2 linked regions of the Daphnia pulex genome follow. The protein of the gene in region 1 interacts with the protein of each later gene in a pairwise test. Links are inferred from orthologs where the notes say so. Each region holds a gene or a part of one and is shown in the gene's direction. Other genes may lie near its edges.

Evidence for each region.
Region 2: the proteins of peroxisomal membrane protein PEX13-like (region 1) and peroxisomal membrane protein PEX14-like interact in a two-hybrid assay, tested with the Homo sapiens proteins (2 studies listed by BioGRID and IntAct, with this or other methods). The link is inferred for Daphnia pulex from reciprocal best matches to the Homo sapiens genes PEX13 and PEX14.

Annotation. Positions count from the first base shown.
Region 1 is NC_060017.1:2,686,664-2,690,352, reverse strand, and holds peroxisomal membrane protein PEX13-like, read left to right. Parts: upstream 1-1,222; 5' UTR 1,223-1,352; coding exon 1,353-1,447; intron 1,448-1,522; coding exon 1,523-1,819; intron 1,820-1,890; coding exon 1,891-2,138; intron 2,139-2,213; coding exon 2,214-2,420; intron 2,421-2,490; coding exon 2,491-2,732; 3' UTR 2,733-3,082; downstream 3,083-3,689. Other genes in the region: opsin, ultraviolet-sensitive-like, read right to left, coding at 3,176-3,299, 3,364-3,465, 3,527-3,689. UniProt on the Homo sapiens protein: Component of the PEX13-PEX14 docking complex, a translocon channel that specifically mediates the import of peroxisomal cargo proteins bound to PEX5 receptor.
Region 2 is NC_060028.1:9,567,884-9,571,915, reverse strand, and holds peroxisomal membrane protein PEX14-like, read left to right. Parts: upstream 1-1,173; 5' UTR 1,174-1,878; coding exon 1,879-1,950; intron 1,951-2,107; coding exon 2,108-2,254; intron 2,255-2,321; coding exon 2,322-2,485; intron 2,486-2,551; coding exon 2,552-2,776; intron 2,777-2,864; coding exon 2,865-3,186; 3' UTR 3,187-3,395; downstream 3,396-4,032. Other genes in the region: CTD nuclear envelope phosphatase 1-like, read right to left, coding at 3,998-4,032. UniProt on the Homo sapiens protein: Component of the PEX13-PEX14 docking complex, a translocon channel that specifically mediates the import of peroxisomal cargo proteins bound to PEX5 receptor.

The DNA of each region.
Region 1 (3,689 bases):
TTTACACCAGAATGTGTGGACACAGTCCTGGTAAATGTGTAATGTCTGCTGATGGGGATGTCTGGCTGAATATTTATTTTCCTCGTTTTTAAGGCTAATCGGAAAAGATGCAGATGGTCGGAATGAACAACCGCAGCCCAGATATTTAGGCACGGTATTCTACGTTGCGCCAGGGCTATAAGATCAAGAGGATGCATTAGATGAATTCACTTTCTTTCATAACGCCCACTACATTTCAATCTAATGATGGTCGTATTCACGGTGAATATTTATCGAGAAATTTTCACGTTGGAGAGTTTGTTTGTTATAGATTCAATCCTTCGAAAATTCTCGGATTTTGTTGTTCAAATATTCTTCTCGTTGCTCTCTGATTTTGTGGAGGATTCCGTTCATAACTTTTTAAAAAGAGAACCTGATTTGATGGGTTTGTTATGAAATGACTGCCCCAACTATTCAGTGAGATGTTTAGCAGTTTCTATTCAGAGCCGAGTTCTTTACATAACGCTGCCGTGCAGGCGTTCATGAAACCTATTGGCAGTCGACGTTGGCTGAATAGGGGGGTGGGCAATGGTGGTTGAATACACATCAGGAATCACGCACGCTTCACGACCGCACTCAGCAGAATTATTACACAACTACTACCAGAGAACCGGGTTGGTGAGAGCTGTGCTGCTGTGTGCAGGCACTTGGAGGCCATTCCCAACTCTCCTCCTTCCCCAATCCTATAGCCTTAGGCAGCTCCAATAATTGGCTGCTGCACGACAACGAATAGAAATTCAATCTCACCGGAGTGATTGCTTGCCAGCGTGAATCCGAGAACCTTTTTCTTCAATTCCTATTTATGATGTGCTCTCTACTTCAACTTTTTTTCACTCTCTCTCTCTCCCTTTCTTCATCCCTGACATGTTTAGATTATGTTGAGTGGTTTCCCAAGCATTTTAGCTTCATCCGAATCATTCCTTATAATCAAACTTCATTGTCGATTATGTTGAATATGTTGCAGTAAAAAAAAAGATATTAATAAATCTGATTAAATTTGAAATAGTCGTCAGACTTAATTTCAAAACAGTAAAAGTAAACAGACAAGGATATTACGCATCAACGCGTGTGTATTGTTACTTAGTTATATCCTTAACGTATTTAAAAGTTTGCGGCAGATTTTTGAATTGAAAGAAATTTTCACACTACTACCATCTACCGGTGTACAAACTCATCTCATTCGTTTCGGAATTTTTATAATGGTGTCGTCTTGTTGTTGACAAGTCGATTCCGTTTTCTGTATCAGAGTTCGCTGGATTTATCAGCAAATCGAGGCAAAGTCTTCGAGTTTTTAGTCTGAATCGTTCAACGCCATGGCAGCTCCATTAAAGCCGTGGGAAAGGGCTGGTGTAAATTCACGAGCTTTTGGTGGCGACATTGGCAACACCTTACCTACACCCATCGTCAGGTGCGTAATACATGTTGTGTTTAGTTCATTTGTTTGGTTTGTTACCTTCATCAATATCTGTTTTGATTATTTTAGTGGGGGTGGAGGAAGTGCTTTTACAGCTTCAGGGCCTGGCGTCCCACCACTGCCTCCTAGAGTACCCGGGGCAAACCCAACAAACAATGATTATGGTGCAGTTTCAAGCTATTCTCCATATCGAACAGGCATTTCAAGTTATTCAAGCCCTTACGGTTACAGTAGTGGATATGGGGGTTATTCGGGACTTTCTAGTGGCTATGGTACTAGTTATGGAGGCTATGGTAACAGCTATGGTGGATATGGAAGTTACAACTCTTATGGAGGGAGAAGTTATGGAGGGACAAGTGATAACAGGTAAAATTTTAAAAATTAAAATAATCATACTTACAACAATTCAACAATTTCATTATTTTTTCTCAAACAAGGTTTATTTCCATGGCAGAAGAGAGTTCTCAACCTGCATTTCAGAGCTTGGAATCAATTGTCCATGCATTTAGCTCCATTAGCATGATGCTGGATTCAACCTTGAATGCTGTTTACAGCTCTTTCAGAGCCGTATTGGGTATGGCTGATCAGTTTTCCCGAATGCGAACACATTTAAGCAAGGTGTTTTCTGCATTGGCCATATTTCGTACGGCAAAATGGGCTCTACACAAATTATTCTACATATTTGGTATGTCTGATTATGCAAATTCTCGACGCAGTAGTTGCAGCCATTGTTATCAACTAAACCCCCTTGTGTTTACAGGTTTGAGACGAGAAAATCCAATCAATACGGCATGGTCCACTGCCGTATCAAATTCGGATGCCTTATCTGCGGGTCTATTGACTGAAGCTGATATTAAAAAGTCCAGATCATCATGGCCCATCACCTTGTTCCTTGCCATAATCATTTCTGCCCCATATTTCATATGGAGGATCATATCTTCCCTAGACAGTGCTCCGGATGCACTAGGTGCGTTAACACACTAACTTTTGTTTCATAAACTCGCTTATTCAAATTATCTAATCTTTTAATGCTCTAGGAAAAAAGTGGGCTGATGGCCTAGGAGAATATTATACTGCTCAGGCAGATTATGATTTCAATGCCGGAAACGAACAAGAATTAAGTTTCAGAGCTGGCCAATCCCTACGCTTGGCTCCCCGTTCCCTTCAGCCTCGCATCAAAGGCTGGATGCTTGCCGGCACCGATTCACAACACACGGGCCTCGTACCTGCGAATTACATCAAAATTTTGGCCAAACACGAAAGTTCGACTCCCAAATAATTCATTTGACTGATATACAGTAGCTAAACCAAAGGAATAACCTTGTCCAAAAGTAAATTGTTAGCTGTTTGATGCCATTCAGTTATTTCGAGCTATATTTTTATCAGTCATGGAGTTGGGCCACTACTCATATTCAAAGCCTCAAAAACATTTAAGGCGTTTGAAATTATTGGCGGCCTTTGTGAAATTATTCAAATTTTTTTTACCCCAATTTTTAGAGGCTTGTGAATAGGAAACGCTCAAATGTTGACGAAATCGTACGATTAAGTGATGATGACTCCTTTTTGTTATGCTGGGTTTGTTTATTTGTAATTCAACAAATCAATATATATTGTGGGATATTAAAACTACTACTAATTGCTATGGATGATTTTTTCTTCGGAAGGTTATGTTCATGATCCTGTTTCGGTCCTTGGTCAAAATAATTAAAGGCTATGCAGATTTTACGAAGAAGTTTCCTTGGAGACACCAGACATTTCTGTCGTGGCCGAACCGACGCTCGAATCGTCGTTGGTAGGAACAGGCTCGTGAATGCAGAACCAGGGCATTTTCTTCTGCAGTTCCATGCTGAAAGGATGAAGAAAAATGTGGTAAGAATGACTGTCATTTCACTATGAATAAGATGTGTTACCGATAACGGGGATGGTTGATTGCATAGATCCATGGGTTGATGCAGGATACCAATTTACAACAACAGGCAGGCACCGTGCTCAGAAGTGGTGTCAGGACGGACCTGTGAAAAGATGACGATGGTGATTTATTTGAGAACAAATTTGTTGAAAGTATTATCTCACCTATTTCCAAAAGCGGCTGTGAGAGCCACAAAGGCATAAGGAGTCCAAGCGAAAACGAACAAGGTGGCGAGAGCAATTGCAACTTTAGCAATGCGAACCTCAGCTGATTTTTCATTTTGATCGCGGTTGCTGCGCAGGGAAGTAACGTTCATCTTTTTGGCCT
Region 2 (4,032 bases), on another chromosome or scaffold:
AAAAGTCTACATCTCTCTATTAGCTGGTTTTCACAAAAGCTGTCTTACTTGAAAAGAAGTAGGTGTCGGATTCTTTCTTTATCAAAAATGTAATATACAACTAATATTCAAAACAAAGAACATATGAAGCATCCATAGTAGACTACAGATTGAGCAAAATGCTTGCCCACCGATTGATTCAAACTGGCAACTTTTAACAACTGCTGTCATGGAAGCAAGAAATAATGTCACTTATTTTCCGACATCAAGAACAAAATGCTACCTAATTCAGCTTAAGAGTAACTTTTTTACCTTTCCAGATTTCCTCTTTTCACCTTATTTGTCATTCAATATGGAAGAACCTTCTCTAGGACGCATTTTCATGACAAGACAGCGATAACGTGCACGCAACACATGTTCAGACAGTTCAAACTCCATAATGCTGCTTATAGAAAAATATTAACTCAATTACTACATATCAAGGAATTTCAATTCAGAAAGAGTCATAGGAATTAAGAGATAATCAACAATTTTACTTGTACATAGACGTCTCAGACGAAACGTGCAACACGCAGCAAGAGATATTTAAGAAAATGTACAGCAATATGACCAAGGATAAATCTAAGGGCACGAACCCCGTAAATTCACCACACAAAATATTTAAAGTTAATAACCTTAGATTAACGCAGAAATTACCTTTTTCGACGAAGAATTTCAGAAAAATGCACTCAGCAATGACTAGAGTCACTATTCTCGGACAGCGTCACAGTTTAAAAGAAAGAGGAATTAGAATGTCGTCTCAAAAGTCAAAACTTAAATAACGCCCCCATTCATCCCTCTACACACTAGGGCTGAATAGTTCAATCCCTAAACACATTGAATTATTTGGCCACCTAGTGACAGCCCTTAGCATCCACGGGACCACGGAGTCACGGACGACAAAAGTCAGACGGAAGACAAACCAAATGTTCGTCATCTCCGTGAAATAGATTTAGTTGAAATAAAAAATGCAATTATCGAAAAATTAACAAGTGAGCTTTGTTGCTGGAATTATTTTTACAGATATGTACAAAATAGCTTAGCTGAAACTGACTAATTTGATTTTACAGCTGAAAATGACCAAAGGCTTATGATAAAGTCATCTAGCGTTAGAAAAAAGAAACGTACAAACAATTCGTTCGTGACTCTCAAAGAGGGTCTGAATTAGAAATGACTCAGACACAGCTTTTAAAGCTAGTAGATTATTAGTAATTATATATTAAAATAAGTGAATTGTCGGGTACCTAGGCACCCGTGGTGAGTGACTGTCACAGCGGAGTGAAGTGGTCCAACTCGTCAGTAAACTCTTTACTGTAACTCAATATATACCACGTATTTAATACCATGATCACACCACACAACTATCATTCCTCCTTCATTGCTCACGTTACATTACCATATCTGGAAAGATGAATTATTGTATATGCAAATTGCTACAATTCTATTCAGTAGTCAATTTTCAATAAAGTGGATGGCTGAACTGAAAGACAATTTTTATAGTATCCTTCTCTTGCTTTTTAAATTAAGGCCGACTAGTCGAGATTTAAATAATAGCAAAATCACTCTCTAAAAAACCACTTTTTACTACTTACTAATTACCATTAATTCATAAATAATGACTACGCCGTCTACGCGAGTCCGTGAAATCTTCGCTTCAACTGTTCAACATGAGTGGCAGACGAATAATTTTCAGCATTAGCTCAACAGCATCCGCATGAATTTCCGTCCTTCACTTGTTTTTCCTGAGTGTGATAACACAACAAACCGAACCACCTGAAATTTCCAAGGTTGCGTGATAATACATGCCTGTTTGGCTGATTATTCAGCGTTTCTGAATTGAAACTTCGATTAATTTCCACAATGAGTGAAGCAGGTGAAGAAATCAACGGAGATTCCCTCAAAGAAAATACACAGCCTTTACGCGAAGACCTGGTAAGTGGTAACTGTAATTTGTAAACATTCTTTTGAATGCATTTCTAGTTTATTAAAAATGCTTTATCACATTAGTGGTACAATGCAGTGTAAATGATTAGAACATGGTTTTTCTTTAATGTGTAAACAACTGTGATTCTGTGTGTATGATTTACAGATTTCCACTGCTGTAAAGTTTTTGCAAAACCCCCGTGTTGCAACTCGTCCCAGGTCAGAAAAAGAATTGTTTTTGCAAAGAAAAGGATTAAACCATGCTGAAATTTCTGCAGCATTTGAGGCCTCTGGAATGAAAGAAACCAAATCAGTATGTCATTTTTATCCAGGCACATATATATTAAAAGGATGGATTCTACGATTTTTTTTTATTGAAGGAGGGAGGTGTAGGACATTACTCTTCAGTTAAAGTAGCCCAACTGCATGAATATAGTCGATCATTGGCACCAGTTGCAACATCAAAATGGAGTATAATCAGGGATATACTAAATGCATCAGTCCTTATAGCAGGAGCTGCATATAGCCTTCATTATTTGTACAGGTAAGAAACAACTATTTATCTAATTTCTTAGTTTGGAAACATTAAGGTTTTTTCTTTTACTTTTAGGCGATTCATAGAGCCTTTTTTATTTGGCCATAAAAAGAAGAAGTCATTGGCAGACACTGTTGAAGAAATGAACAAGAACCTCACTTGTTTAGTCGGCGACGTTTCTGCTGCTGTACAGAATCTATCAGACACAGTTGCTACGCTTCGTTCAAAACAGCACGAACAATCTGAATTGAAGGAGTTAAAAGCTGAAGTGACATCATTGAAAGCCATTTTGTTAGGAAGGTAAAGTGTCATATAAATTTATAATTTTGATTAGTAAGGAATATGTAAAATTATTGGAATTTCATTATTGGAATTTGAAATTCATCAGGCGACAGTTTCCTGCTCCTCCAGCAATCGTGACTGGGCCTCCCTCTATTCCCCCTTGGCAGTTAAGCTCAACTAGTGGAGCAAAACAAGATCTACGTGCTGAACAATCTAACAAGAACAATCAAAGCGATGGCATTTCTCTGTCTTCATCCCCAGAGATCATCTCCGTAGAGGACATGCAAACAAATTCTTCGTCGATGGTGAATGCTGGTTTGAGCTCGGTGTTACCAGCTCGTGGTCCGAGCGAGAGCAGTGAATCCAATAGTGCCGAAATAGTTGAAATGGGAGCTTCTGGCGCATCTGGGGAAGAAGATACAGATTAAATTGCCAATTTTAACCATATTATTAATATTATGCCTGTTGCTTTTGTGTTGGAAAGAAATGTGAAATTTAAATACTTTAGTTGATGGCCTTCAAAAGATGAGCATCGGTGATCGAGTTAAAATTTCAAGCTGTATATCAACTAGTCCATGTATTGACTTTTACTTATTTCGTCGGGTTCGGGGCATTAAGATAAAAAATGGGAAAAGAAGTCTTGTTTTTTTTTGTTTTCTTTTGTTTGGTAGGGTGAGCGATACAAGGGGTAGAAAGGGATGATGTATTCACACACTTCCGAAATGGATAAGATAATCAAAAGAAAGAGACAGAGGAAGAGTATTCACTGTACACAATTAAAGATTGTTGATTCCACCTGGTTAGCCATATTGCTTTCAACAATAAATCTGTCAACTGGAAGAGGAAAGTGTAAGAAGAGAATAGAAGGGTCAACCAATCATGAACAACACGTTTTGTAAGAAGAAAAAAAAATATTGTCGTTAGTCTCTCAGCACACTACACTCCACATCAAATCCATCCAATCGCACACGCGTCATATCAATTGTTGTGTCTGTTAAAGACAAGGCCGGTCGATTACGCAACGAGAAAACTGAGGCCATCTGAGGACCGTTTGTAGTGATACCTATCGGTCAAATAAGGGCTCCTCAGTAGTGTGCAGTTAAGAGTTGTTGATCGACTGGAAACTGATCAAAAGTGAATAAACGCAAGGGAATGAGACTTGGCTGCAGAGGTGATAAGGGAGGTGGGCAGAAGTGAGGGAGCTGGTATGTGCCGGATGAAAATCACAAGTCAGCAAAACTACCAGAGTCGATGCGAGTGCAAGTTCCTGCCGA